Rhinolophus ferrumequinum: one gene and its partners. The protein of the gene in region 4 purifies or fractionates together with the protein of the main gene of each other region. This does not show direct contact. Links are inferred from orthologs where the notes say so. Each region holds a gene or a part of one and is shown on either strand. Other genes may lie near its edges.

Evidence for each region.
Region 1: the proteins of HDAC6 (region 4) and PKM purify together in Homo sapiens (affinity purification with mass spectrometry, with the first as the bait; 4 studies listed by BioGRID). This does not show direct contact. The link is inferred for Rhinolophus ferrumequinum from reciprocal best matches to the Homo sapiens genes HDAC6 and PKM.
Region 2: the proteins of HDAC6 (region 4) and ACTB purify together in Homo sapiens (affinity purification with mass spectrometry; 3 studies listed by BioGRID, with this or other methods). This does not show direct contact. The link is inferred for Rhinolophus ferrumequinum from reciprocal best matches to the Homo sapiens genes HDAC6 and ACTB.
Region 3: the proteins of HDAC6 (region 4) and SQSTM1 purify together in Homo sapiens (affinity purification with western blotting; 6 studies listed by BioGRID). This does not show direct contact. The link is inferred for Rhinolophus ferrumequinum from reciprocal best matches to the Homo sapiens genes HDAC6 and SQSTM1.

What each region holds. Positions count from the first base shown.
Region 1 is NC_046289.1:97,339,753-97,347,671, reverse strand, and holds the start of PKM (pyruvate kinase PKM), read left to right. Parts: upstream 1-4,902; 5' UTR 4,903-5,125; intron 5,126-7,919. UniProt on the Homo sapiens protein: Catalyzes the final rate-limiting step of glycolysis by mediating the transfer of a phosphoryl group from phosphoenolpyruvate (PEP) to ADP, generating ATP.
Region 2 is NC_046307.1:41,580,104-41,587,589, forward strand, and holds the start of ACTB (actin, cytoplasmic 1), read left to right. Parts: upstream 1-4,486; 5' UTR 4,487-4,507; coding exon of another isoform or gene 4,508-4,650; intron 4,651-4,901; coding exon of another isoform or gene 4,902-5,292; exon of another isoform or gene 5,293-5,304; intron 5,305-5,310; 5' UTR 5,311-5,316; coding exon 5,317-5,439; intron 5,440-5,583; coding exon 5,584-5,823; intron 5,824-6,260; coding exon 6,261-6,699; intron 6,700-6,784; coding exon 6,785-6,966; intron 6,967-7,144; coding exon 7,145-7,288; 3' UTR 7,289-7,486. Other genes in the region: translation initiation factor IF-2-like, read right to left, coding at 4,508-4,650, 4,902-5,292. UniProt on the Homo sapiens protein: Actin is a highly conserved protein that polymerizes to produce filaments that form cross-linked networks in the cytoplasm of cells.
Region 3 is NC_046307.1:2,982,383-2,989,500, reverse strand, and holds the start of SQSTM1 (sequestosome-1), read right to left. Parts: upstream 3,006-7,118; 5' UTR 2,950-3,005; coding exon 2,739-2,949; intron 874-2,738; coding exon 778-873; intron 313-777; coding exon 83-312; intron 1-82. UniProt on the Homo sapiens protein: Molecular adapter required for selective macroautophagy (aggrephagy) by acting as a bridge between polyubiquitinated proteins and autophagosomes.
Region 4 is NC_046284.1:85,813,071-85,820,454, forward strand, and holds the start of HDAC6 (histone deacetylase 6), read right to left. Parts: upstream 3,009-7,384; 5' UTR 2,887-3,008; intron 2,377-2,886; exon of another isoform or gene 2,332-2,376; intron 2,306-2,331; exon of another isoform or gene 2,047-2,305; intron 1,812-2,046; 5' UTR 1,782-1,811; coding exon 1,689-1,781; intron 1,605-1,688; coding exon 1,476-1,604; intron 1,342-1,475; coding exon 1,253-1,341; intron 1-1,252.

The DNA of each region.
Region 1 (7,919 bases), on a different chromosome or scaffold from region 4:
GATAGTGATTTGCCAGCAACTGACCGGCAGCCTGATTCCAGAACAGCTGTTCTAGTTCTCTGCTCTGTAGCTCTTCAGATTTCACTAAGGTTTTCATTTAATCCTGACAACTAAAGGTAGAAGGTAGGTTTTCTTTAGGGACCTTAAATAACGTGTCCAGGGTCTCACAGCTGGGTAGTGGCAATCCTGAGTTTTCACCAGAGCTGCCCAACTAGGACCTGAGCTCTGAGCCATTCTTTTACTTCCCCAGAGGTTCTCAAACTGTTCCCACTGACGTTCCAGCAACTGAACCCAGGTGCTTGGTTACTCAAATGGTATTACAACATTTTTGGTCTATTTTCAGAAAATGTTAATGGACTTTTCTCAGCTGTTAAGAAATTATACATTCTCAGCTGCTTAAGAAATTATAAGCATTTCTTATAATTTTTTTTATCAGTGGCAGATGACATAAGTTCTAGTAAATGATGGAACAAGAAGTAATGAACAGGTAGTGTATGTTACCAGAAATATCCAAATACCTGAGCTAGTCTCATGGGTGTCAATTTTTGTTAGAACATTGCATAATGGTCTTTTTTTATGCCAATAAGTGTAATGAAATTACAGCACGTCCTCCAATAACGTCTTTATAATGTTGATAAGATGCCAAGGGAACTTAACTCTTTATATCAATTAACTTATGATAAAATGGGTCCAGTTATGCATTGTTTCACTTAAAGTCACAAAGCTACCATGACACTGAGGACTTACTGAACCCCATTTTGTAGTGTCCCATATAAAAGCAACAGGACTTTGAATCTGAGATGTTTGAGAGCCATACACAATCACATCTGAAAAAATTCAAAATATACCCATATATGGTTGTAAAACAAATCTAATTAAAACCCTATTTAAAAAAAAAAAAGAACACCCTATGACAAGAATGCCTCCATTGCAGAGAAACTTGCAGGGCTTCTGGAGAGGAATTCTCCCACAGCCTGCAGAGGGATTTGGGAGCCCCTTTCCCTCACCCAGGCCTGGCTGGCTACCTTGGAGGTGGGGAGGTGGGGCCTGTGAAAGCCAGGTCTGAGCAAGAGATCATCCTCCTTCAGAGGCCAAAGCTATTACACATCCTGCACGCAGAGGTTGCCAGTGGCCTCTTTTCATATAGTCCCAGGCTCAAGCAGCCTTACGGCATTTAGACCTGGACATGCTTCCTTAGGGCTACGGTCAGGGCCAGGAAAAGAACTATTTACCTCACAATTTGTTCCAGGTGGAGAGTAGATGGCTGTGATTTCTGGATTGAGAACACAAAAACCCCAGAGAGTTTAACTTTCTGCTTCTCTCTGATGGTAATTTTCCATCCATGCAGGGTGTGGCCTTGACTCATTTGTGGGGAGGATGTGGCCATCCATAGGGGAAGAGCCTTCTGCTTGATTCTGCCTTTCAGACTGGCCAGTGGGGAGAGAGAGAAAAGAGTCTGGTGCTGAGTCATTATTGGGTTACTTACCAGCTTACTTACAGGATGGATTCTAAGATGGAGGTTTGGAAGTTGTCTCAGCTTCTGGGCCCAATTTGGGAGTGGTGGCAAGGAATTCATGAGTCACAATTCCCCAGAGTCCTCCTCCCCCAGAAAGGATGGGAATAAAGTAGGCTTCAATTCATTCGAAGGGGCATCATTCTCTCTGGAGGACAGGACTTTCCGTAAGTATTTCAGAACCCCCCTGCAATGGGGCCAAACATGCCACCCTTTAAGTTAAAGCATTGCCCACCAACATTATCTAGGACAGAGACCAGAGTGTCCTCAGTCCTAGCCATCCTTTCCGGAATAAGTGGGTCAGATTAGCTGGTAGCCAGTGAGCACAGAGGGGGAGACTGGAAGCATGTTGCCAAGGAAAAAGCAGACTGGTGAACTGCATGCAGCAAGAGGACTTCCGGCGAAGGGGGCACTTGACCCATTACTCACCGATGCCTTTCTTGGTGGTCTTCCAAATCTTGATGACTTTTGAGGGATAAGATCTGCTTACATTTGCATCTTAAGGAGCCTGAACTCTGGCTACACTTGTAGGGAAAAGGGAGAAAGCATAGGGCCTCAAAGGGAGGGTTTGGCGGGCAGGATTAACCCACGCTAGGGAGGCTTTTCTTGGGAGCCCTAGCAGTCCTGAGCTAGAGAAAGATTGCTGGAGGTCCCATCAGCTGATAGAGACCCTGGCTGAGGTTGTACTTCCTCTGGAATGAATAAGGAGTCCTCAAGCTTCTTCCCTCTTCCAAGTGCTGGTGGGGCATTTCTTCAGGAGGGGGGACCTAGATACACAGTTGCATTCAGAAAACATTCTTCACTGTTCCCTTTCCCTGGAATGGCCTTCCCATACCCATCTCTATCCTAACCAACCCTCCATGTCTCCTCCATGAAACCCTCCCTTTCCCACACAGATAGCCTGTTCTCTCTGTATCCTCAACGCCAAAGAAACCAACTTCCTCTTCCTTCTAGACTTTTTCGGAGGGGGGCGGGGAGGAACTCTTGTGCCACCCTGGTGGGATTGAAGAGATGTTGGGAGTCTGAAGGCAGGCACAGAATAAATTTAAAGATCTACTTGGTCTGGCTCTGGAAAGGGCATATAAACTCCAAAGTGATAAACACTTCTGCTCTAAACCTGCCACTGAGGGCCTATGGGCTGCCCTGGAAATCTGGATTGTCCTGAGAAATAACACTGCTGTTTCTGGCAGAGGCCAAGAGGTCACGCACGGACCGTCACGTCTGTAACCAGGGCCAAAACTCATCTCTGGGCTGCAAGATTGGGTTCACTGTTGTTTGCTGACACACCTACCCCACCAAGGACTCCAAATGACCTTCGCAAGTGAAGCCATTAAACTCCAGATTCTGTGGTTCTGTGGCCCAGAACCCAGAGAGCACAGCAGTATATATCCTCACTCACAGCCCAGTCCAGTGAGCCTCGCAGCTACCACGCCAATCTGGCCACGTCAGTGAGCATGGAAGGCTCTGGAGGAGGAGCCTGGCTGCGAGGAGAATCTGTGTCCTCCCTCAGCTTTCCTGTTTCCTGCACTCCTGGGGTTACTTGTTGCTGGGTCAAGGGAGTGAAGATTAAGGAGGATGGCCAACAGAAAGGCAAATGAGTTACTAGAATTCAGAAAGGCGTTCTCACCCTAGTTACAAGGACAAGCGTCCAGGACTAGTCAATTCCCAAGGAAAGGATGCCTCTTGGGCAGTGCTGTGCTCATTCACACCCAGCATCTGATCAAACCCGACCCTGGGAAACAGGAATTGTCTTCCATTTATTTACAAGGAACTGGACTCACACAGTATAGTATACAATCACAGGGACTGATGAGTGGAATTGGAACTCAGATATGATGGAACCTACCTAAGCTTTCTTCTATACTATGCTGCTTTCCGCAAAAAGACAACACTTTAAGCGCAATGTGACAAATGTGCACTATGCATCTAACGTGAGCAGGATATGCTGGATTTGTCTCTGCCCGTTTCATGGACAGCATTTTATAACAGCTGACCGACCTCTGTCACTGAAGGGCAATAGTTTGCCACCAACTCATCAGTTTAATAGCTGTGCATTTCAATTTTGGGAATGTATCTCGATTTAGAACTTTAAAACACAAGGTAGTACAGCACTGGCCTGCCCATCCCCCTCCCCGTGTTGTCCTCCCCTGTACTTAGCTCATTCTTAGCTGAGGGGCCCTGTAAGGGCCGATCATGCTATTCCTTTTTCTCTGGGTAGGAATGTCATTATCCCTGGTGGGGTATGGCCCGTTTTCCTCTCCACAACTTCGTGTGCTCTCCCTACCTCCATGAACAAGCATTTACTTCCTATCTACGACTAAAGAGACCAGAAAAGGCTCACAGAAGAAATGAAATATTTTATCTCAAACAGAAATTTACTTGTAGGCTGTCACTTTCTCCTCCCAGCTTATCTGGGCTAGAGGAAATCATAATGAAGACCTGTGATTCAGCTGCCGGCAGGGTGTGTGCCTGAGCAGGTCACACCCATTGGTCCCATTTTCCAGGAAACGGACAGAACCTAAAAAGAACAGCCTTCAGGATTTTTAATGAAGTAACATTGTATCTGCTCTCAAAACTTGGCTGAATGAAGGCAAGGGTTAACAGCTGTTTCACTGATTACTGTTTTCAGTGGTTGTGGCTAATTACCGAGAAATTGGAAAATGCCTTGGAGAAAAACAATACTGATTTAAATACACAAGGTTGAAAACAAGCGCTGACTCCTGCAAAGATAATGGGCCCTCACCTTCTGAGTATTTCTTGACGATCAGTTCTGCATTAATAGTAATACTTTCTACTCGCTTTCTATTTCCAGGCTCGTGCTCTGCAGGATTCCAGCCCCTACTAAAGTATTCCCATGGCCCCAACTTGTCCTTCCTTGTTCCAGCCCTAAGAACAAAGGCCTCCCGCTCCCGCTCCAAGCACCTCCCGCCCTCCCTAGTTCTCCCTACCCCCACTCCCGGCCCGACCTCCAACCATCCCATGAAATCTCCGAGCTCCCCAACCTCCTGTTCGGCCCAGTCCCCGAGGTGTGCGCTGGGGTGGGCACCCGTAGGGGTGGGACGTCGCGGGGCGGCGCTGGGGGAATGCTACCCCTGGACCCATAAATCTGGGAACCGCCCGAATAGGCCAGGGCAGCTGGGGTGGCCTGGGCCGAGGGTCAGGAGTACAGCCCTCCTCCAGCGTTCTAAGTTGGCGGCAACAGGTGGCCGAGGCGCCCGGGGGTCTGGGAGGAAAGGACTCCGAGGTTCCGAGGGCGGGTCTTGCCGCCTCCTCGCTTCCCCATTGGCTCCTCACAGAGTGCGAGGATCGATTTTTATGTACCGTATCCTTCCGCCACGGAATGTAGTCCTTCCCAAAGGGCAACCTAACTGTCTGTTCCGGCGCCGCCGCACTTCCTACAGAAGGGACTGCTCCCCTCGGGGACGCAGGGGGCGGGCCGGGCGAGCGGGGAGCCAGGATTGGGTGGGGGGCGGGGCGGCGGAGGGATTGCGGCGGCCTTGTAGTCGGAATAACCTTGAGGCTGAGGCAGTCGGCTGCACGCAGAAGCGACGCGCGCAGAGCCTCCTGACCTCTCTGCAGTGTACCCGCAGCCCGAGCGAGACCACACCGGAGGTGAGCTGGAGGGAGACAGGCTGAGCCATCCGTCCCCACCTGGGCTCCATCGCCCGGCTAGTGCGGAATCTGGCCGGTCTGCGCACACAGGGCACCCATTCCGGGGCGGCGCGGGATCCTGGGCATCTTGTACCCGGTTGGGGTCGGGAGAGAGGAGAAAGAAGCTGCTCGCGCCTAGGGCCTGCTCTTCAAGGCCCCCAGCTCCTGTTTCTTCCAAAGTCAGATGACTCAGCCAGATCCTCTCCTGCCTCGATCCCTACCCCAATTCTGGTGCGATCCTCGCCTCCCTTCCCACATGCCCTCCGAACCTCCTTTCCTCTCCTCCCTCCCCCTTGCTCTCTTGCTCGCCTCCTCCCCTTGCCCCTTAATACTGATCCATTCGCCCTTCGTCTTCCACCTGCCCGTGCCTCTTTATTCTGATGCTTTCCTTGTAACCTCCGCGTTCCTCCCGCATTCAGGTTCCCGGTGCCCACCTCGTGCCGCCAGCTACCCCATTCATGCGCTTGTTCCGCCCCTCCCCCCCACTCCGGTCACGTCCGCTCCTCGGCATCCTTCTCTGCGCGGTGCGGCCCTCGCCCCTCCCACTCGGGTCTAGTCACGTTCACGCCCCCTCCCCCGCCCATCTGGTCTCGTCCCACTGCTACCCCGCCCCCCAACTCGTGTCCCCCGTCTCCATCACGGCTCCAGTCTCCGACTCCTGGAACCCGTGTCCGGGGTCACCGACGAAGGGCAGTGGTCTGCGGGCCGGCAGAGCTGGGTCGGGTGCGGCCCGGGATGCAGCGGTGGCCCGGGTTACGTAACCCTGGGCCTTTCCGGCTGCAGGGAAAGAAAGGGTTGCACCTGGGTGCTCCAGATTCGATGCGGTGACCCAGGCGCTGCGCTCGCTCCGGGAGCGTGGCGGGGCTCCATCCCGCCGCGGCGGAGCTGCACGTAGTAGCCGGCGCCCGGGACCGGCCCCGCTCCGCCCCGCCGGACGACTGGCCTGCGGACCCGTTACCGCCCAGCCTCACCTCGGGCCTGGCCAGCCAGCCGTCCGTACGGCGCGGAGGCCTCCTCGCCTCTGCTTCACGTTGCTTCACAGATGCGCCCAGATTGTAGAACGCGGAGGTCACGGGGTGGGTGGGAGTAGGTGTGGGTAGCGGACAAATAGGTCTGGTGGTTGGTGCCACGTACCACCTTCACTCAATAAAAACTGTTCAGAAGCTGTTTGCGGGGAGGGGGATGGAGACCCGGATAACTATACTGGCCATTGCCCACAGAGCTCACAGCCTCGTTAGAGGACGAACATACCGGTAGAAGTTATCACTGGTTAGTGTGGTGAGGCAGGTACGCCCTTCCTGCTTGGGGAGGGCTTGGTGACAGGAGGCCTCACAGGGTGGCATCACACAGGGTTTGAAGAAGCAGGAAAGCACCTGCGGTCTGAAGGTTATTTAAAGGCACCCTTGGCTTCTTATCCGTGTGCTTCATTCAAACCCAGGCCATCGATCCCCTGCTATGCAAGTGACCTGATAGGTGACGTCGGTGTATGGTGGATAGAGGCATTGGGAGGTGTCAACAGGCGTTTAGAATCAGGTTTGACTCATACTGACAGGAGTGATGGAGGGCCTTCAGCCCCGGGGCCTGTTTGCCATGTGTAAACTGAGTAACATTTTCCTCATGCTTGTTGAAAGGATTTGTCTCTATGCACGCATCTAGGTGTATGTGTGTTGTAGTGTCTCATCTCTGGCGAGAAGTCCAGCAGAAATGCCTCTAAATGTGTTCTTTTAGTCACTGAGCACAATTAACAGGTAACTGAGCATAAGGGTTAATCTTGATGCCATCCCCAAACACACACTCACAGTTCCTTTTTGGAGGCAGGCTCTAAATACCAGACATCTCCTGGAAACCAATTCCCTCAGGGATCCTGGTACAGTGTTCACAAAGTAGCTAATAATGTGACTTTGTAACTGCACTTCAAACAGGTCTCCTGAGAATGGGGACCTCTAGACAAAGGAAGGGGAGGGCATTTCAGTCTTTGGTGTTTGGCTATAAGCGGAAACAGACTTACAACCCCAAGACTGAAATCTTCCCTACCCGCCAGCTGGGTTCTAGGATTCGCTCAGCCAGCTGGTAAGTGTGAAGTTAGGACTGAAGGCAGGGGGCACTAACCCTCTATTGGCTGTACTGAGGGTGAGGCCACTCCCTAGGGGAACAGCATTGTTAGCAAATAATTTGCCCTCTGGTTGTTTGAGGATGGTGCTGGGAATGCAGTGGCGCTGTTCTGAGGGGCTGGTAACCCATCACCAGGTCTGTGGGGAGGATGACTGAACCTCTCAACGTATCAGCTTTTGAGAGAATCCTCTTCATCAGGTGAGCGGGAAACATGTAATCTTTGCAGGTGTAAAAAGTCCCCTCTCCCCTTTCAGTGAGTCAAATAACAAAGCATGTATTTCCTGCAGTTAAAAATGTCTCAACTAAGTGAAAAATGGTTGTTCCAGGTCCCCAGGCTCTCTGCTGCCCTACGAGCTGAGGTGCAGTGTGGCACAGCCCTATACCCTGGTAATGCAGTCTGCGCCTTCTGCAGTGGGCATGGCAGCCTCATGGGATAAGGGCTGTAGTGGACTTGAATAAGGTATGAAAGAATGTCTTTGAACTCATTTCTGAGTGACTGGACTTGAGGCAAAATATATGGGTGTTAATTTCTTCCTGTCCAGTACAGCTACTCTCATTGTAAGCACTGTGTTAGAAGTAAATAATTTTAGTGTTGAATTCATAGTTGAACCAAGAGCGTTATTGCATCTTTAAGAAATGTGCC
Region 2 (7,486 bases), on a different chromosome or scaffold from region 4:
CTTCAAGAACCTCCTGGAACCACAATTTTGGGGAGACCTATGAGGCCAGGATGCCTCAGCCTCCCCACACCCCCAGACTGCTGGGAGGATCTTTAGGCCCCAGGGATTTTCTCCTTTCCAGCACTAGGAGTCTGTCTGAGGCACCTCAGTTTTCTCATGTGGAGAATGGGGACAACTAGCCCCCCCAGGAGGAGGGTTGGGGAGAAGGAAGGGCTAAGCTGGTGTGTGTGTGGGGGAAGCCCAAGACACATTGTTTTCTATTTCTGAAAAAGTCAATCAAATAAGCAAGGCTGGGAACTCCCCAGGAGGACTGGGCATTTCTCTGACTGCCCTGGGGGACTGGAAGAGAGAGGGTAGTTCTTAAAGATTTTTTAAAACTCTCCCAAGAAGTGTCAGCAGTTCCCAGTTTCTCCAGGGCAGGGATCCCCCTTTCACAGATGACTCCATCAGGGAGCAGGGAAGGCCCAGGGCAGGCTGGGCCTGAGGGCCCTGGGAGGGGCTCTGGCTAAAGGCCAGGCCTGGGTGGGGACCAGGCCCCTGGCTGCTGCCCAGAAGAGCACACAGGGCCCAGCCCCTCCCTTCTGCCTCTGAGCCTCACTTCAGGGGCTGATCACCTCGGGCTGGTCACCTCGTGGGGGGACCTTCCCTGACTGCCCTTTAAGGAGCTCCCTCCTTCCTAAGGAAACCTGCTGCTTTCCTTCATAGGCCATCAGACTTTGTTCTCTGCTCTCTTGTTTGAGGTGTGTCTCAGGGATCACACCTGCTTTATTCAGGGTGTTACTCAAAACTGTTCGGTGCTGTTGTGTTCTGGAAGCATGCCTGGCTGGTTGGTGCTGGTGCGTAGGATGCAGGAGCAATGTGATCCAGGAGGTTTGGCTCTTGGCTGTGCCCTTGCTGTGTGATCCTGGCTGGGTTGCCTCCCCTCTCTGAGCAGGAAAGCTACAGCTGTTATGGTAGAGGATGGAGGAAGTCATGGCAGGCTTCCTGGAGAGGGCAGCCTGAGAGCTAGCCTTGAAAGCTGAGGTCAAGTTAGGCAGCAGGCAGAGGAATGGCAAGCCCAGTCCCTCCCAGAACCTCAGGAATCCTGAGGTCCAAAATCTCCTCTTGAGACCATCCTGGGAGCAGAGGAGGAAGCAAGGGAAAGAAGTGGCAGAAAAGAACAGGCTTGGAGCCTCAGGACCCATTTCATTACTGACTAAGGGCTGGTGGTTGTTCTCTCTGGGCCTCAGGAGATAAGAGCTGGCTGGGGTGGGAGGAATTTAGACTTTGGAGCAGCCTTTGGACCCAGTCCCTGGGGGCACTTCAGGGGACACTTTACCCAGGGAGGGGCAGTGTGAGGCCTGGTAGGGGGTGGGGGACTGGGCCTAGAGTCCTTCACACTGGACTCTGGGCCTGGGTGTCTCACCAGTCCTGCCTCAGTTTCCTCATCTGTAAAAAGAGTGTGTTTGCTGGAAATGTTTCATCCCTTCATTCAGTTACCCTTCACTGAGCACCTACTGTGTGTGTGTGGGTCTTTCTTCCACCTCTCAGCCCCACCTCAGTTTCTTCCTCTGAAAAATGGAGCTGGGGGTCCCCACCTGGTGGGGCGGCAAAGGGGCTCCAACACTCAGGGCAAGGGGACTGTTTTCCGGAAGAGGGTGAGGGAGTGGGCCTTTGGAATGGACTGTAAATGTCCCCTGGCCTGGAGGCCTTTGCAGGGTGGGGGAACCACAAAGAGAAAAAAATCACCAGAAAGGCAGGTGAAGTCCCCATTGGCTGAGCTAGTGTGGGCTGTGTGCCTGCCCCAGTGACAGCTCTGAAACTCCCTGCAAGGGCAAAGTTCCCAAGCGAAGAACCTGTTCACTTCCTCTCCCGCTGGTCTCCTCCCCCTTCCTCTGGCCTACTCCACTTCCTCTTTTCCTCCTCCCGCTTGCCTTTTCTCTGCAGCTCCTCCCCTCCTCCAAGGCTTGTGGCCCAGTGCCCACCGCCAAATACCCTCCATCTGCCTAGGGTCTTTTGTAAGGGCTGAGGAAGGACACCCAGGCACTCACTCATTCAACAAAGCAGAGCCCTGGGGTGGGTATAGTGGATGTGATGGCGACTCCGGAAGGGTTTGCTGAGGATGGACCCCCAGCTCTATTTTTCAGAGGAAGGAACTGAGGTGGGGCTGAGAAGGGAAAGAAACCGCACACACAGTAGGTGCTCAGTGAGGGGTAACTGAAAGGGGATGAAACATTCCAGCAGAGTCTGGTGGGGTAGGCTGAGTTCTAGATGCTGCCCCAGTGCAGTTGCTTTAAGTGGGGGGAGGGTGCATGTTGCAGATGCTAAAGGGCTCCCACTGAGGAGGGACCTTCTAGGCTGGGCCTTGAAGGATGCATAGGAGAGCACCAGGAAACGGCTGCTACAGATGGCCGGGATTGTCCCAGTCTCAGGTCAGGTGTCCCAGTCTTGGCCAGCCCTTGGTTTAGAAGAGGTGAGGTGGCAGCACAAGTCCTGCTTGGGGACCAGGTCTGCTCTCCACCTCGTGTCGCTTCCTGGAGCCATCCCAGAGTCTCCCATCCCATGCCCTGCAGCCCTGGTCCCAGCCTACCCAGCACCCCTCCAGGCTCAGCGAACAGCCAGAAGTAGCCTCATCAACAGGCAGCAGAAAGGGTCACCCCCTAGTCCCTGAATCACAGGGTTGGCAGGTCCCAAGGTGGCTGGCCAGATGCCCGTGACTGAGAGACACAGGCCAGGGACAGAGCAGTCTGGTCCTTGGGAAGCCGGGAGTGGACAGGCTAGGAATGTCCACCCAGGGCGGGGATGGTGACTGGGGAGCTGCAGCGAGTTTCTTGGCAGTTATCTGGGAATGCTAGCATGTGGCTCTGAGCCTGTGGGCTCTGCTGTGCACTAGGTGACGGTCACCCTTCCCACCTGGTTGTGGCCTCCACAACCTTCAGAGACCTGCCACCAGCCTCCTAGGCAGTGGGCTGGACCAAGCCACCTCTTCCCTGGACACACATTCCACTCCCATATATGGACTAATTGGTCACTGGTTACAACACTCTCTCAGTGAGCACCTATTATGTGCTGCAAAGCCCTGGGCAGGCCTGGCTGGAGACAGACCAGTGGTGACAGGTCAGTGCCCCCACCTAAACCACCTTTCCCATTCTCATTCCTGTGACAATGCAGCTTCTTGTCACCACCTCTGAGAAGGTGCATGCTCCTCTAGGCAGAGCCACACAGATGTCCCTCTGGGGTCCCACAGCCCCTGGGCTTCTGTCTGCCATACCCTGAGCACTGTTGGCCACCCTCTGGATACAGGCTCTGCCTGCCTAACTGGCAGCTCTCAAAGCAGGGAACCACCCAGAACAGGACACCCAAGTTTTGCCTAGTATCTGGAATGTCTCAGGGCAATAAAGAGTGACAAGGAGAGGGTCTCCTCTGAAGGCAGCTGCTCTTCAGCCACTGTCCCTTATGCCACGCCCCCCCAACCCTAACTCATCTCTGGCTCATTGAGTGCCTTTCCCCAGGCTTCGGGGACCTCCAGATGGTCCAGGAGGGCAGTTCAGCTGTGGCTACACATGACAGAGGATGGATGGGCTCTAGAGCTGTGCTGAGCAGTCCTGCCTGCCTACCAGTGCCCACCAGTGTCTGGCAGCTGCCCTGGACACCGGCCTAACCTCCCAGGCCTGGCCTTGTCTGGGTGTGACCAGGCAGCCCTGAGAGGTAGCCTGGCTCCATGGGAACAAGTTTCTGTGCTCTATAGAACCCACCTCTTCCCAGGCCGGCAGCAGGGAAGCCTTGGAGGCCTTTTTACAGGCAACTAACTTCCAGCCACTGGCTCCTGGGGGCCTGCCCTGTCCCTGGGGACTGTGGCCCTGAGGCCCTTGTTAAGTAGCTACAAGCCCCCTGACTCCCCCAGGCCGTATCATATTTCGCAGCTCCAGGTCTCTGAGTAGAAACGATCCCCATTTAGCAAGGTGAGCACCCCGGGCCAGAGGTACCCTAACCCAGGCTTTCTGGGTAGTTGAGCCAATGTTGGGAAGAGTGGATGGTGACTCCCTAACCACCCCTCCCCCACAACTGCTCCTTAAGCATGCGTCCACAGCAACCAGGGACCCTCGCATCTATGTTGACTCTTGTGCCCACGGGGGAGCGGGGAGCTCACGGCACATGTGACATCCACACCCGGAGGGTCCCGAGGTGGGGGACACGGAGAGACCGGCAGGCCGAGTCCAGGCCTGGCTACGCCTGGCCGGACTAAGCACTGCCCAGCGGGGCGGTGGCCCACGGCTTGCACCTTTCATCCGCGGGCCCAGCTCCTAAGAGCGGCCAACGCCAAAACTCTCTCCCTCCTCCTCTTCCTCAATCTCGCTCTCGCTCCCAGTCCATCTCTCTCTTTTTTTTTTTTTTTGCAAAAGGAGGGGAGAGGGGGTGAAAAAATGCTGCACTGTGCGGCGAGGCCGGTGAGTGAGCGGCGCGGGGCCAATCAGCGCTCGCCGTTCCGAAAGTTGCCTTTTATGGCTCGAGCGGCCGCGGCGCCGCCCTATAAAACCCGGCGGCGCGACGCGCAGCCACTGCCGAGTCCGCGTCCACCCGCCAACACAGGCCTCTCGCCTTCGCCGCTCCGCCGCCGCTGCCAGTCTACACAACCTCCAGGTAAGGCCCCAAGCCGGCAGGGCGAACTGACTGGCGCCGGGCCCCGGCCTCCCCCGGGTACACAGCGCCTCTCGCCTCGGCCCCGAGGGCAGCACTTGAGCTTGGGGAGTGGGGCTCGTGAGCCTCCCAGGTCGGGGCCGGGCTGCGCCCGGGCCGTGCGCCCAGGGTGCTACCGTCGGGGCCGCGGGCCTTCGTCGGAACGGACAATTAGCTCCATTGGGCCACCGGCTGCTAGGGTGGGTGGGTGGGTGGGCGCGGCGGGACCGCGGGCCGGGTGGGGGCTGGGGCCACCACTGATCCTGCGCGTGCGCTTTCGGGCTGGCCGCCGCGGTCGGCCGGAAGGGGTGGGTCGCCGCGGCGCCAAGGCGCATGCGCACATTTCTTGGCCGCGCCGTCGGCTCCCGCGGGTGTGGCCTCCGCGCGCCTGGTCGGCGGCGCTTTTTGAACGGGGCAGGGGCGGGGCCGGCGGCTGGGGAGGGGCTGGAGGCCTGGCTTCGTGCCGCGCGCCGCGGGGCCGTCTCTAACCAGCGTTTGCCTTTTATGGTAATAACGCGGCCGCCCCGGCTTCCTTTGTCCCCAATCTCGGCGCGCGCCGGCGCCCTCTGGCGGCTCGAAGGCGCGTTTTGCCGGAAGTGGGCAGGGCGGGGGCCGCCCCACCCGACGCGGGCTCATGGTCCCCTTTCCTCGCAGCTCGCCATGGATGACGATATCGCTGCGCTCGTGGTCGACAATGGCTCCGGCATGTGCAAGGCCGGCTTCGCGGGCGACGATGCCCCCCGGGCTGTCTTCCCCTCCATCGTGGGGCGCCCCCGGCACCAGGTAGGACGCCAGCCTCGGGTCTGACTTGGGAGGTGGGGTCTCTGAACGGGCGGAAGATGAAGTCGGCTCCTCCGCAGGGGAGGCCTTGGGCTTTCTGCGTTGGGTCGTGCCCATGCTGAGGGCGCCTTGCTCCTCCCTCCGCAGGGTGTGATGGTGGGCATGGGCCAGAAGGACTCCTACGTGGGCGACGAGGCCCAGAGTAAGAGAGGCATCCTGACCCTGAAGTATCCCATCGAGCACGGTATCGTCACCAACTGGGACGATATGGAGAAGATCTGGCATCACACCTTTTACAATGAGCTGCGTGTGGCTCCTGAGGAGCACCCTGTGCTGTTGACTGAGGCTCCCCTGAACCCCAAGGCCAACCGTGAGAAGATGACCCAGGTCAGTGCTCTACTGGCCTTCCTCGGGAAGCCACTCCTTCTTTTCTGGCCCTTCTGTGCCACGCCTTTTCTCACTTGTTCTTTCTTCTGCCATTCTCCTAGGATTTTCTTCTCTGACCTGAGTCTCCTTTGGAACTCTGCAGGTTCTATTTGCTTTTTTCCAGATGGAATCTTTTTCGTGTTTGGTTTTCTGACTAGGTGTTTAAAGTATAAAGTGCTGTGGGTGTAGGTACTAACACTGGCTCATGTGGCAAACCCAATGAGGATGGTGTGAAGTGGCCTGGGAGTGTGTATTCAGTAGGTGCACAGTAGATCTGAAAATCCCCATCTTGGGGTCCCCAGCACACTTAGCGGCGTTCCTTGCACTCTGCATGTTCCCAGTTTGGCCTGGCTGTCTGATGGCTTCCTGAGAGTGAAGTGGCCCATCTTTCCCTACAGATCATGTTCGAGACCTTCAACACTCCAGCCATGTACGTGGCCATCCAGGCTGTGCTGTCCCTGTACGCCTCTGGCCGCACCACTGGCATTGTGATGGACTCCGGTGATGGGGTCACCCACACTGTGCCCATCTACGAGGGGTACGCCCTCCCCCACGCCATCCTGCGTCTGGACCTGGCTGGCCGGGACCTGACGGACTACCTCATGAAGATCCTCACAGAGCGTGGCTACAGCTTCACCACCACAGCTGAGCGGGAAATTGTGCGTGACATCAAGGAGAAGCTCTGCTATGTCGCCCTGGACTTCGAGCAGGAGATGGCCACTGCGGCCTCCAGCTCTTCTCTGGAGAAGAGCTACGAGTTGCCTGACGGCCAGGTCATCACCATTGGCAATGAGCGGTTCCGCTGCCCCGAGGCGCTTTTCCAGCCTTCCTTCCTGGGTGAGTAAGGCTTTGACCTTGCCACCACACAATGGTCACCCTTGTGGCCACACTGGAAGCTAAGTCTGGCCTCTGTTCCCCTCAGGCATGGAATCCTGTGGCATCCATGAAACTACCTTCAACTCCATCATGAAGTGTGATGTCGACATCCGCAAGGACCTCTATGCCAACACAGTGTTGTCTGGTGGGACCACCATGTACCCAGGTATCGCCGATAGAATGCAGAAGGAGATCACCGCTCTGGCTCCCAGCACGATGAAGATTAAGGTGAGTGTCCGCGCAGCCTGTGCTGGCCTGGTCACATGGAGTGTTAGAGAGTTCCCATGCTGACTTTACTGTAGGATGCAGCCACCTGTGGTTGTCAAGGCAACCTTTCTGGGGTAACGCACAGCCCTTGGGGCTGTTCCATCAAGGTCCTTATGCTAACTGTCCTGTTCTCTCCCAGATCATTGCGCCCCCTGAGCGCAAGTACTCGGTGTGGATCGGTGGCTCTATCCTGGCCTCGCTGTCCACCTTCCAGCAGATGTGGATCAGCAAGCAGGAATACGACGAGTCCGGCCCCTCCATCGTCCACCGCAAATGCTTCTAGGCGGACTGTTACTTAGTTGGTTACACCCTTTCTTGACAACCTAACTTGCGCAGAAAACGAGATGAGATTGGCATGGCTTTATTTGTTTTTCTTTGTTTTGTTTTTTTGATTTTTTTTTTTTTTTTTTTTTTTTTTTGGCGCTTGACTCAGGATTTAAAAACTGGAACGGTGAAGGTGACAGCAGTCGGTTGGAGCGAG
Region 3 (7,118 bases), on a different chromosome or scaffold from region 4:
CAGAAGAACAAGCGGGGCTGAATCAGGGGGCTCCTGCTGCCCCACACCCACCCCACCCCACCCGCAGGGAGGCCCTGCTCACCTCAGAGAGGTACCCAAAGGGGTTGGGGAAGGCGAGCTTGCTGTGCTCCCTGTGCATGCCCTTCCCCTCGCAGCTGGCACACAGGTCATAGTCAGGACAGACGCTGCACTTGTAGCGGGTCCCCACCACTGGCCCGTTGCAACCATCGCAGATCACATTGGGGTGTACCATGTTGCGGGGTGCCTCCTGAGCACATGGGGGGCGGTGGTCCCGCCGGCACTCCTTCTTCTCTGCAAGGAGGGTAGAGAGCCTTAAGGTGGGGCCCCACGTAGTGTCCCCCTTGTCACTACTACGGGGCTGTCACCAATGTCAGTAGGACCCTGGCTCCACTCTTCAGACACCGAATCCATGAGGAACTCAGTTGCTCAAGTGACAGCAACAAAGTGACCTGAGAACCTGCCAGGTTCCCAGTACCTGCGCATTACCTGGGCGGTGGCTGTGTCTACATAGCTTTGGCCTGCCTTTCACTGAAATCAACCCCAAGTGCCCCCAAAGCTGCCCCCAGCCCACAGCACGGTCTGGGCACCACAAGCAGTGAAGCCAGCCCCTCCGCCCCACCCCCTGTGGTGGACACGGCCTCCTTTTCAGCGCAAGCACTGCCCGCTGCTCCTCTCCCCCTTCACTGGGGGCATTTCTCCATAACCTCCAGCCAGCTGGTTTTACTCAGCAGGGAGCACCCCAGAGCTACCCGTTACCTTTAATGTAAATACGGAAGATGTCATCCTTCACATATGCCATTGCCATCGTCAGCTCCTCATCACTGGAAAAGGCAACCAAATCTCCGTCCTCATCTAGGTTGTTTAAAAGACAGCACATGAGCACCCAGGGTTTCTCAGCTGGACACCACTGCGGACAAGGGCTGAGGGGCACTCGCAGGGCTGTGACTGAAGCCCAGTATCTGAGGCGGGGGAAGCAGGGCTGAGGCCAGCATGCCACTGCCTAGAACGCGAGCACTCTAATCCGGGCACCAGGCGTGCGCAAGGGGTAGAGTATGTATGGACAGGAGGAGCGGGCCTCCTGCCGTGCTGCCTCTGGGCCAGCTGCTCCGTCTCAAGGGTGCTGCCTCGGTCCGCATCTAAACAGGCCCAGGCCCAGACCCATCTTCAGCTATGGGTGATCCCACCCGTGACCTGCATCAGGCCAGCCCCTTCAAAGCTCTTGGGCCTCTTGTGGTTTAGGAGAGTAAAGTAGACGAGTACACCTGTTTGCTTCCTCCCCCAAAGAAGCTAAAATTATGTATTTGTATGTACTGTCCTTTTCAGATGTTGGCTCAAATGATTTTAAAGCACCACAAGGTAGGCCAAACCACATCATACATCTGCAGGCCGGGTCAGGTTTGTGGGCCACCAGACGCAGCATGGACCATAAGAACAAGGGCAGTGTCAAAAGGCGAAAACAACCCACACATCCATCAAACTAACAAATGGACAAACAAAAGTGGTATGTCCATACAATGGGGTATTACTCAGCCACAAAAAAAGAACGAAATACTTTTCACACTACATTATGGAAAACGTCATGCTAAGAATAAGAAGCCAGTTACAAAAGACTACATATTATATGTGTCCATTTATATGTTTATATGAAATGTCCAAGATAGGGAAATCCATAGAGAAAAAGAAAAGATTAGTGGTTGCTTAGGGCTGGGGGAATGGGAAGATGGGGATGGGAGGATAACTAAAGGTGATGAAACATTTCTAAAATGATGATCATGGTTGCAGAAATCGGTGACTATGCTAAAAATTGTACACTTTAAATGGGTGAATTGTATGGCATGTGAATTATAGCTCAATAAAGTTGTTTAAAAAAATAAAACAAACCAGGAGTGGGCCTGGCCAGCACTCCTAAGGGCGGTGCCAGCACAACCCCGCCCAGGGGCCGGCCTTGGCTGCTCACCTCCTTCCCAGCCACACCTCCCCCACCCCACCCCTCAAAGCCACCAGTCAAGACACTGGGCTAGTTCCTGGACTCTAGTCCCACACCGACATTTCTGAAGGTTTTGATCTCGTTCCTCTGCCGACTACCAGCAATATAAAGTCTGGGCTCAGCCTTGGCCTTGGGTGGTCTGTGGTATGTCCCCGCTCTCTCCTCCCCTCCCCCTGCCATGGGTTCTCCCATCAGGCCACACAGCCCCGAGTCCCCTACACCCCCACACACACTTGTTTACCCGCATCACCCTTCTCCCCTGCCCGCTCAGGCTCTTCCCGGGGCACGATATGAACCCCCACCCGAAACAGGCAGGCTCAGACTGGGCAGCAGCAAAATGTCAGTGTAACCTGAGTGCCCGCCTGACCACCCAGTGGCTGCTGCGAGCCGACGAGGACGCCCCAGGGAGCCCTTGCCAAGATCTGCAGCATCATGGCGGGAGGGGGCGGGGGAGGGGAGACCTCTTATGCCCCAGGCCTGCGATCCTCTGAGAGCCTGGCAGCGCCTGGCCCCACAAGGGCCGGCCTTGGTCACCACTCCTGGTCACCTGAGGCTGGCACCCGAGGTCGCACTGGGGACCATGTGAGCCGCCTCCCACCCACTGAGCGACCACAGCAGACCCCCACAGATACCACCAGGCCCGTTAGGAGGGAAGGGGCCCCCACCCGCCCCACAGGGAAGGCCTGCGTCAGGGTCCCGCACCGCTCCTGAGGACGCCCGGCCCGCTCACCGCGATAGTGCGCCTGGAAGCCGCCGGGCCGCAGCGCAGGGAACAGGGCGGCCACCCGGCTCAGTAGCCGCTCGCAGGGCCTGGGGCCCGCCGCGGCCTCCGCCTCCGCCTCCGCCTCGGGCTCTGGGCCGAAGCAGAAGCTGAAGCGGCGGATCTCACGCGCTGCGTCCTCCTTGCCCAGAAGGTAGGCCTTCACCGTGAGCGACGCCATCTCCAGCCGTTTGTGAACAGGAGCCTAACCGGGCAACGGCAACCCCGGGCGCGCGGCTTTTGTAGGGGAAGCTGGAAGTCAGCTCCGCCTCCTGGGGGCGGGGACTGTACACTCACGCCCCGCCCCCGCGCCCGGGACGCGGCGCGCGAGCCGCCCTGCCGGCCCCCTGCGCCAGTTGCCCACTCCCCGCCGCGGCACCCACCATTCTCTCGGGGTTTCCCGGACCCCCTCATCTTCGACCCCTTTGCTCACTTCCCCCAGCGCACCGGGAGCCCCAAAAGGCCGATCCCGCCCTCCGACATCTGGACTCTGGACTCGGGCCTCTGCACCTGGGGAAATGGAGCCACAGAGGTCCCGGGTCCCGCCCCAGACCACTTCCAGGCCTGGGCCTGGCCAGTGACTCAGCAGAGCAGTACCAGGCCGCCGCGGATGCCCAACATAAGAGGGAGGGGGACAACAGAGACCCGAAAACAGGAGGCTCATGGGCACTCAGCGGGCACGGCATGCCAGAACAAACTGGCTCTCAAGGTGCTGTCCCCACCCTGCCACTCTTAACAGCCCCTCATTCACATAACAGCCCTTTACTGGTTTGAGGGACAGACCCCCACCTCAGGCCCGACCACCAGAAGAGCTCCCAGTTTAATAGGGGGTAGGTCTTAAAGGTGCTGGAAGAGCACAGTACCTCCCACCCCCACCAGGATGGAGGGCCAGCTAAGGCTTCCTGGAGCCTCAGCCATCACCCCATCACCGCATGTTCACTGCAGCCCATGAGACTGCCTATGGGTGCCTGGACACCGCCTGTCAGCACAGGGTTCAGTTCAGCAGGTGGTGCCCAAGGGCTTGTGGGGGTCTCAGGCCTGTTGACCTCATGGACAACCCAGGATTCAGATCAACAGCCTCCCAGCTAGGAACCAAGAAACGTGCTTTATGTGACAAAAGTGAACTGTTCACAAGGCCTGGAGGAGGGGGTGGAAGAAGGTGAGCAGGTGTGTCACCCTATGAGTCCTCCCAGTTGGGGACCTGTGAATAGGAGCTCAAGGCCCGCTGAGTCAAAGTCATATCCTTTCATGGTGGGGTTGATGGGAGCAGGTAACCTCAAGGGATGGGAAACACAGACATCCCCAGAGGTTGGGTGGGTTTGGTTAGTCAGGTGCAAAGGTGATTTGTCTGTGGGACCACAGCAGGGATCTGTCCACAGGTATGGCTGGTCCTTCCCAGAGGGCTCCAGAGTGGGCAAGGCTGTAGCAGCTCTGCAGAGAGGACGGTCCCCTCTCAGGCCCTCCCTACACCCCCTCTGTGAGCCTGAAAAGTGACCCTCTGCCCACCGCCATGCAGACAGGGTCAGGAGACAGAGAAGGGGCAGTGCGGCCCACAGGTGTCCGAGGGAATGACTCAGCAGCCTAGGAGCCTTGCAATCCCGGCCCACTGGGCCAAGAACCCCACTTCCTGCCTCCAGAGCTGCAGCGTCCCTCGCTGAGTGGGTGGGGTACACAAGGAGAGCCCTGTGGCTCTGGGGAACCCGGGTTTCAGGAAGGGCTTAAGGCGCAGTCCCTGTCCAAACAAGTGGCGGAAATGGAGGCCACTGGCAGGACTTCCCGACTTTCTGACCATTTGGCTCCGTGTGTGGGACCGTGGTGGGTTTGCAGGGAGGGATGGAGAACTCAGGGTGAAACCGGGTGGTAGGAAATGGCCCCTGGGAAGCAGGCCTGGAGATGTCCCCCCTCCTGCCCCTGTGGAGCCCCAGCTGCTGCCTTCCCAGCATGCCTGGCTACAGAGTATAGGCCCTCCCCCACCCTCCCCCAAGGCCAGGAAGGTAAACACGCTGCTGCGGCAGGGGAACCCCCTGGCAGGGCCCTCTCCGCCAGCCCCTGCGTGGTCAGGTGGTCTGGATAGAAGGCAGTGAGTCAGCATCCCATGACCAGCCGTCATAACAGGGGAATCCCCGGCTCCATGCTACCAGTCTTGATGACATCTTACCAGGCAGCCTGGCAGCAGCGGTGAGGAGCAGCTGAGTGGGACTCTGAGGGAGCCTGGAGCCAAAAGAGCCCTCGGAGGACAGGGTGGCAGGAAGCTGGCAGCGGGGAAGGCCAGACCGAACTAGACCCTGTCCCCACCAAAGTCCCCTTCTGTCCTTCCCCTCCCTGAGCTGCAGAGAGCTCCCCCAACCTCCCCTGTGCCCACTGGCCTCCATCTGACCCTCTAGGCATGGCATTCACACGCTGTGAGGGGGGCAGCTTGGTGCCTGAATCAGACCAACTATCTACCACCCTGCCATCTTTGGACAAATGACCAGCTTCAGTTTCCTCGTCTTTGAATGGGGCTGGAGTGCGGTGACTTGATGCCCCCAAGTGATGCCCCCTAGGTGTGCTAGTTGCCTTTGGGGTTATCAGCTTGGCAGGCGGAGACTACAGTCAATGGTGGGAGTGGGAAGAAACCTGAGCTGAGAGTTTCTGGGGACACTGGGTGCAGGGAGGGGTGGCAGGAGGTCCTCTGATACGGTTTATTCCTGTGTGGTGCGCTGTAACTACCTCCTCAGTTCCCCGTTCCTCCTTCCCAAAAATAATCCCATCCCTTGACAATCGTTTTCTGAAGCCTAGATATGGGTGCTGTGCCAGCCAGAGACACAGCCACCCTTGAGATTGAGGATCACAAGGGATCAACATCCTCCAGACCTAGGCCCAAGAGATCAGTTTGTTTCTACAGGGGGGACAGGGTCATGGGTGGGATGGCCTGCAGGCCACAGTGCCCTGGGACCCAGCTGCCACTCCTTTCCACTCCCTCACACCAGAGGGCACACTCCCAGCCTTCAGTTCCTAATATTGCCTACCCATTCCCCCTGGTGACTTTCTCCTGGCCCCTCCCCCTGCCTGGAACCCTTTCTCCTGCCTCACATGGCAATCCCCCATCCTAAATGGCGGTGGGGCTTTCCCTGACCACTCCCTCAGGAAAACCCCAGAAACTGGACATTACCTCGTTTTAGCCCTTCCTGCCTAGCCAAGAGGTGTTGGGAGCTATGTGTGTATGTGCCTGTGTGTTGGGGCATGGGGTTAAAGAAAAGGGGTTCAAGCCATCTAGGAAATGAAATAAAGCCACTAAGAGACATAGATGGAAAGTTAGGTATTGCCAAGTTGTCAGGGTCATGAGAGAACCAGGGCCTCCTGCACAGCTGCTGGAGGTTGGGAGCAGCCATTCTGGGCTTGGCTACTGGCACGGACAGAAGAATGGACGCCTGCACGCTCCTGGGGGCATTGAGGGAGCGGCCGCCCCCTAGGTGATCAACACACCATGTTCACTGGACAGTGGAGATGGCTCTCCGCAATGCTGATGCAGGTAAGGGAGGCGGACCGAGGCCGAACGCGGAGCCATGTCTGCAAATACAAATCAGAAGGCCCTGGGCCCATCATCCACAGAAACACAAAGCCGGACGGGCGGCGCTAGGGACCCAGTCCTGCGCGCCTGGCCTAGAAAAAACGTGCGGCCCGGAGCGCAAGCGGCCCGAGCTCAGGCCAGGGGCGGAGGAGGGGTGCTGGTGGAGGCCCGCTTCTCGGCTGCTCGCCTGAAGGGCGGCTGCACCCGACCCCGTCCACACCTCGCTGGAGCCGCGTCGTTCATCCAGCCCCTTCTCCCCCAGCGCATCCTTGGAGTCCTGGCCCTGTGTCGGGTCCTGGCCCGAGAACCCGCAGGGGCTCCGGTTTCCCGCAGCGAGCGAAAGAGCGCGCCTCGCTCTGCGCGTCGGATCCGCTGGTCGGAACTGGGGTGGTCAGGCCGCCCGCCCGCAGGTCCCCTAAGGCTGTTCATTAAGTAAGACACCCCTCACTCCCAGCCCAGGGGAAAGGGAACTCGGACAAGGGTCACAACTGGTATCCGATGGTCCCTCCCCTTCCTTGATCGACACCTACCCCGGGCGGGCACTGCTGGGGGCTCCCAAAGCAGAGGGCCGGCCTGACAGCGGAAGGTTCTGGAAGGATAAAAGGAAGCGCTACGAGGTGTTAGGGCGGGGGGCTGTGAAGAGACAGCGCGGTGGCCCTGGATGGATCCAGGCGCCTGGGCCCGGCTGACTGGATGACAGCCGCTCAAGGCAGAGGGGGGGACGAGTCGCGGAAGAAGGGTGCGGCGTGCTCCTAGCTGGGCTGGGGCAGAGAGGCCGGCGTGGCACTCGCCAGGGAGCG
Region 4 (7,384 bases):
ACTTCTCTAACACACTGTACCATTTACTTTTTGTTTGTGGACTGTCTCCCCGCCTCGAAAACGTAGTCTCCACAAAGGCAGGGGTTTTGTTTGCTTTGACCAGGGCCACGTCCCTAGCTCCTCAGGAGACAGTAGATCTACATTCAATAATGAAGCCTTTTGACATCCTGACTCTTCCACGGGGTTAGGAGACATCGATACTCAACCGGTAAACACATGAACATAGTAATGAGCAAACAGTGGCATGGGTTAGGAAGAGCGTGAAGATCAGGTGTGGGGGGAGGGGAAAGACCAGGCAAAGCTCTCTCTGAGAAAGTCTCCTTGAGATACGCATATTAACTGGGAGGAGAGAAGGTAGAAACGGATCTCTGGAAGAGAGACTGGACAGGGGAAAGACCCGAGTCGAGGGAGTGCCTGGCATGTTGGAAGAATAGCAAGGGGACCAGTGTGGGTGAAGTGAAGCAAAGCGAATGAGGGGGGAGGATGAGCTCATGAGGTCACCAAGGTGATGTGGAGCCAGATCACGTGGAACCTAAGAGGCCGGGATGAAGAATTTGGACTTCACCTGGAAGGCAATGGTCTGTCCTTGACAGATTTTAAGAAAGAGAACATCACCTCGTACGTATTTTTGTAGGTTGCTGTGTGGAAAACACAGCAGGGGAGAAGGTGGAAGCAGGGGACCAGTGAGGAGGCCTCTGCAAGTCTCGATGAGTGATGATGGTGGTAGCAGTGCAGACAGTGAGGAGAAAGGTCAGATACTGAATACATTTCGAGCAGAGAGCCAAAAGAATTTGCTGATGAATTACAACACGTTGTGAGCGAATGGGAGGGGGAATTCTCCTGTTTCAGCACAAACGTCGCTTCTTCAAGGATGCCTTCTGGGAACCCTGGATGCTACTCTAGGGTCCCTATCAAACATTCTTGAAGCCCGTGGTCTTAAGTCCTCCTTCATTAAACATTTCACACTGCGTCTGGGTGTTTAATGATCTGCTCTACTCACCTATCAGCTCCTTGAGGAGGGACCCTGTCTGTCTTGTTTGACACATTTGTATCACCAACTCGGGGCACACAGTAGGCGCTCAATAAATATTTGCTGGCTAAATGAAAAGAACCCTTTCAAGCCTGAGCCCCACCTCCCTAAATCGTCTGCTTCTGGTCTCTAGGCTAGTGTAAGAAAGGATTTGTTCCTGCTAGTAGCTCTAAGTCTGCATATTTGTGTGGTTCGGGGACAGCCTAGAGGAGTCAGCCTCACCTGTCATCCCAGAGGCAGTGGAATTCATTTAGCTGCTCATCGAACACCAAGCCAGTACCAGACAGTGTCTTGGCCTCAAGGTTCAGATCCTGCAAGGAAAAAAATGTGAGACACGGATCGATTTAGGGCCTGAGTCAGAGAGAACATCCCATATTGTCCAGGATGGACAACCTCAGGATTTTGATTGTCACAGGAGGCTAAATTGTGGCCAGGCCACTCTCACCAGCCCTTGCAGGCCCACGATTAGGTCTTGCCCTGTTTCTTGGCTGAGCTTCTTCATTCTGCCTTTCTTCTTAACCTCCGCTAGTTTGGGGCTGGAGCGGAGTACGGCACCCTTCTTAGCACCTCGCTTCTGCCAAACAGAAAGAAGGGTCAGAGTCCACTGCATGGCCGGCTGCTCCCCCTCCCCCTCATCAGGACGGGTCTGGGGCCTCACCGAGGTGACGCTGGAGTCGTGGGGGGGCGAGTGGGGGTTGTGCCTACTCCTTCGCTGCCTGGTTGTGGTGGAATCCTGACCGGTGGAGGTCATGGTCGGGGAGATTTCACCCCTGACGCGGTTCTGAGGGGTGCAGAAAGGGCTGGGGTGCCCTGAGGACCCCACATCCCAGCCCCTTCTCAGGCCCCGCCCCCTATACTAGTCTCCATCTCTCCCGCTATCCTACTCCCCACTGCCTTCTAAACTCCGCCTCTCTCAAGGCTCTCTCCCTCCACTCGGGTGTCTAATTCACCTGGTCCCGCCCATTCCACTAGACTCCACCCCTTTAACTGTATTCTTTCCCCTTTCAAAGTCTTACCCTTTCAAAGAGCAATTAACCCCCAGGCTCAGTCCACTCTAGGGCCTGCTCTTTCCAGCAAATCACAACCCTTCCGCTCTACCAAGCCCCATTCCCAGATCCTTTCATTCTTCTCAGCTTCGCCCAGACCTCGCCTCTTCATAGACGCCCGTTCCATCCAATCGCCCGGGATAATCACCCACCCTTTCACTCAGCCAGACCCAGACCCAAGACCGACCCCGGCCCCAACTCCACCCTTAACGAACCACTTAACTCCACCCCTTATCGGGCCGCACCGGCACCTACCACTTGGCCAGATCCCGCCCCTACTGTTACAACAGGCCCTGTCCCTCTGGGGACGGCCCCTTTCCTTCTACCAGGCCCCACCCCCCGCCAAACCCTACCCCCGTCGCTTCCCCAAGCCCCTTCAGCGAGTTTGGAGCCGCCTCCCGCCAACCCCCCCCGTTGACGCCAACCAATCCCTTCGGCTCCATTCACTGGGCACAGCCCTTTTCTCAAACTCCGCCCACGGCTAGGACCGCCCAATTCCCGACGACCTGTGGGACTGTGGGAGCCGGAGGCCAGCTTTTCCTTTGGGCCAAGTCTCTCTACTGCCCGCCCAGGTCCCGCCCACACCAGGATCGGGCCGCAGGACCGCGCCCCTCGTGCGGGCCACACCTCCCGCGAGCGCACAAACCGCGGGTTTGCGCGTCCGCCCGCGACGCGGGCCTTGCTGCGCCTGCGCGAAGCGCGCTGCGGCGGTTCGACGCGGCGCTCAAACCCAAGCTCGCCCCTCCCCCAACCCTTGCCGCGGTCTCCCTGGCTTTCCTGGTCGCCGTCACTCAATCCCTGTCCAGTCACCTTAGGAGCCCTCCGGATCTGGGGCTACTGTGCCGTGCGATGACTAAAGAGAGCAAGCGAGCAAGCGAGGGAGTTGGGAAAGGGCGTCTTCCCTCCTCCCTGCAGCTTCCCGCGCGGCGCGCTGTGATGACGTGGCGCGGGCGGGCTGGAGCTGGGTTGAAACTGGAGGAAGGCTGCTGGCGGCCAAATGGGATTGGTGATGATGCTAAATGTAGCGAGGGTTTTCTAAGTTAATGTTCACGAAGGTGGTACACAGGCCGCACTTACCAAGTGTTAGCTATTAATGTCTTGCCGTGAAAATGGATGGTGGGCGAAAGGAGTCTTAGTAGGGGCAAGTATTAAATGATAATGATAACAAGTATTGTGTGTCAGGCATTGCTGTAAGCCACAATTCTGTGAGGTAGTTCCCATTATTAAGGCTGTTTTGCAGATAAGGAAACTGAGGTTATGCGACTTAGCCATGTGACCTCGGGCAAGTTACTAAACATCTCTGTGCTTCAGTTTCCTCATCTGGAAAATTGTGATAAAATAGTGCCTAGGGACAGAAGGGACTCAGGGAGGGGAGTTTTTCTTGGGCGGCAGCTTTCCCTGTCAGTCTCCTCCACCGAGTAACCTTCGCTCCCAAGTTGTAATGGAAAGTGTGTGCCTGGGAGGAAGGGTAGTTGCCCCCTTGCGGCCCCCCGCCAACTCCCTCCCACCCCAGGTCTAAATAGCCCCGCAGGAGGCCGGTTTGTCTCCCTAATCTCCCTTTCTCATTCTTCACCATTTCCTACCGGGGCTGTAGGCTGGGGCCCGAGAGATAAGCGGTCTGGGGTTCAGCATCGCTGACTAACAAACAGATTGACAGCCCCACCACCCACTAGCTGGGCCCTCTGACCCTCTTGAAAACACCAGTTCCAGCCTTCCCTTCCCTTCCACTCTTTCTGCCTGAATATGTCTTTTGTCCTGGTGGAAGAGGGTCACGGCCCTAAGACCTTTAAACCTCCTCATACACCAAAGAAAACACATACAATGATACACACTGAGGAATATTCTGGGGTTGTGATGCCTACAAAGTAATAGAGTAGGGAGTCTTGTAAGTGTCAAGGCCCATTTTTCTGTATAGTCAGAAGAGAGGTTTCTGTGGAGCAGAAGTCATCAAACTTTTTCGACGCAGGACCAGATAGTAATATTTTAGGCTTTGCAGGCCATGTACGGCCTCTGGTAAATTCTTCTTTCTTTTCTCCTTTCTTTCCGTTCTTTCTCTTAAAAAAATGTAAAAACGGGCTGCAATCTGGCTTTGTCCTGAATGCCATAATTTATGGGTCCCTGCAGTAGACTGTCAGTCTTTGGCTTCCTTTATCTGACTGGGATCCTTTTACAGGATAAGTGCAGAGGTTCCATGCTTCCTGAGGAGAGGTATTCCTTTCATGTGAGGTGTAAGGAGAGGGATTCATGGACAAGGTCCGGTCACTTCTGGTGTTCTTCTACTGGGTCAAGCAAATGTTTCTGGACAGGGATTTCTATAGTTTCCTTAGTGTGCCTCCACTGAACCAAGCAGGGGTTTATATATAGGACAAGACAGTTGTTTCTAGAGAGCTCAAGACTAGGGGTTCCCATACAAGTTCAGGATGGGGCTCCTTAGACTGCATTATTCCTACAAAGAGATCAGGTGATCCAGCTTCAGAGTCAGCACAGGTGTTTCTGTACAGGTTCAGAGCTGCATTCATATACTCGTGGACAGTAGGATCAGGTGTTTGTGTCCAGATTCAGCCGAGATTCTTATTAATTGAACTAAATTAGGCTAGCTGCTATAACAAACCCAGAATCTCAGGAGCTTAGCAAATGTTTATTTCTTGCTCATACAAAATCCAACGTAAATATTTACTATTGGTCATTAATGGACCCAGGCAACTTCTGTTTTGTGGCTCTGCCCTCCTCTGAGCCCTCGGAGTTTTTACTATTCAGCTGGTAGACAGGGAAAGGAGGAGGATTCCATGAGAGGTTTTTATGGGCCAGGCCTTGAAGTAGTGTATGTCACTCTGCCCACACTTCATCGATCAGAACTGTCACATGTCCACGTCTAACTATAAGGGAGGCTGGGAAAGTGAGTGAGCTTAGGAAGAGAACAGGGTTGATAAACCTGTGGTGGTGCCTGCTACAGGATTCTGTAGACTCTACAGAGCTACGCTGCTTAATGCAGTAGCCACTAGCCACAGTCATGACAGTGGTTCCTGCATAAGATGAAGGTAGGGCTTCCAGAACAAAGCCAGGGCAAGGGCTGTCAGAGAGAGTCACGTCAGGGTTTCCCAAACAGGTTCAGGAGAGTGTTTCCAAAGTGTAAGGTTGGGAGTTCCTATGAAGGATCGGGTCAGAGATTTCTGTAAACCAATCAAGTTAAGGATTTCCATTGAAAGTCAGGAAAAGGTTTTCTGTAGAATCCAGTTCGAGTTTCCAGTACAGTTGTAGGCAAGGCTTCCTGTAGAAGGTCACGGCAACGGAGCTTACGGGGTGAGGATGGGAAGCCCTGTACAGTGTCTGGGCAGGGGGTTCTGTGCTACGTGAAGCTGTAGGTAACTGTATAGAATGAGGTCTGGGCTTAAAGTAGAGGGTCGGGAAAGGGTTTTCCATGTAGGTTCAAGACTGGATCATGGGTTCCTGTGGACTCTACAAGGTGGGGTGCAAGATAGGGATTGTTGTACAGAGCGACGTCAGGGGGTCATTGCCAACAATGGAAGCAAGGGCTCCTGAACTCAATCGGTTCCTGAAGAGGTTGCAGATGGGATGGAGATTTCTGCAGAGAGAGTCAGGTCCGTGGGTTAGAACTAGATTTTATTGTGAGCGAAGTATTTGTAAACTGCTACCTGGAGGGCAGGGCTCCAGTACAGTGTGAGGACAGAGGTGGCCTGTCCAGGGTCAAGGTAGGATTCCTAGAGAGAGATCACAGCTCAGAAAGAGGGTCAGGATAGGCGTTTGTGAAAGAGGTGGTTCAGGGGCTTCCTTACAGTGTGGGTTCAGAGATTCCCATGGCAGGACAGGGGTTCCTCCTATACAATACGAGGACTGGTGCTCCTGTCCAGGGTCAGGATGGGTTTCCTGTTGATAATTAGAGAAGGTTCCTTAGAGTTCCAGAGCTAGGTTCCTGTACCAGGCTAGGACTGCAGTTCTTACAGGGGGTGAGGCTTGGGGTTCCTGAACAAGGTGGGGCCAGGCACATTTCCAGCACAGGTTCTGAGAGGGGTTTCTTTCTGTTTCAGATGAGGGGCTCCTGCAGGGTGAGAGAGCTAGGGATCTGTGGGGCGGCCGGGCAGGAGGCTTTCACAGGGCCAGGGCAGTTCTAGACAATCCCTGTAATGAGTGTGGACTACTGTGATTCTGCAGCGGGCTTGTGTGGCGACTCGCTAAGGGGTGCTGTTGTGTCGAGGACAGCTGCTTACCCATGACTATGTTCAGGATATATGGTCCCACCATCCCCATCTCTGGGGCTGCCGGGGAGAAGCAGCCCAAAAGCAAATCCAGAGCTGAGTGAATTGAGGAGTGAGTGGTTTAAAAAAGAGAGAGAAAAGCAGCCCAAGTAAGTGTGAGCAAGACTCGGGGGGTGGGGGGCGGGCTGGGGTGGCACCATCTGAAATCTACTCGTTAAACTCAGTGTGGTCAGGGCAGGTTACTCATCCGGACTCAGCCTCACTTTTTCGTTAGTAAAATGAGTACGAATATACATACTTTTTTGGAGTATTTTTTTCAGGTGTTCATGAACTAAAGCAGCGGAGGCCTCCCAACCGTTGCCGACCCACGGTAAACACTCAGTAAGTGGTGCTGCTTGCTGTTAGCAACTGTGGGGTAGAGAGGAGGCTGAGCCACGGAGCCGGGCTCAGCCCCGTGCCATCAGCTTTGTGCCTCGGTTGACCATTTAACCTGTCTGGCTTAGAAGGGCACCTGACTCAGTGCGTGCTTCTACCGTGTTTCCCCGAAAATAAGACGGGGTCTTATATTAATTTTTGCTCCAAAAGACGCGTTAGGGCTTATGTTCAGGGGATGTCATCCTGAAAAATCATGCTAGGGCTTATTTTCCGGTTAGGTCTTGTTTTCGGGGAAACACGGTATGTGAGGGTTTGTTAAATGGGAGAACAGATTCTGTTTTGGGAGAGCAATTCACCTAAGTGTGCTGGGAAGGGCGTTGGCACTGCGGGGAGCACCCCCACCTATGGGGTCTAAATATCCCTCCAGAGGCTATTTGGTCCCCCTAATCTCCCCCTCTCCTTTTCTACCATTTCCCACAGGGCTGCAGGCTGAGCTGGGCCTTGAGAGATAAGAGATGAGTGACAGGAAGGCCCACGGACAACCCCACGGTCCCAGACTGGTCATCTGACCTTTTTGTTGGCTACCATTCCAGCCATCCCCTGCCTTCCATTCCTGTCCTGAGTATGTCTTCTGTCCCTTGGAAGGGGGTCCCTCACGTATACCGACTGAAGCGATGTGTGTTGATACCTCCACACACAAGAGTACACAGAGCTGCTCA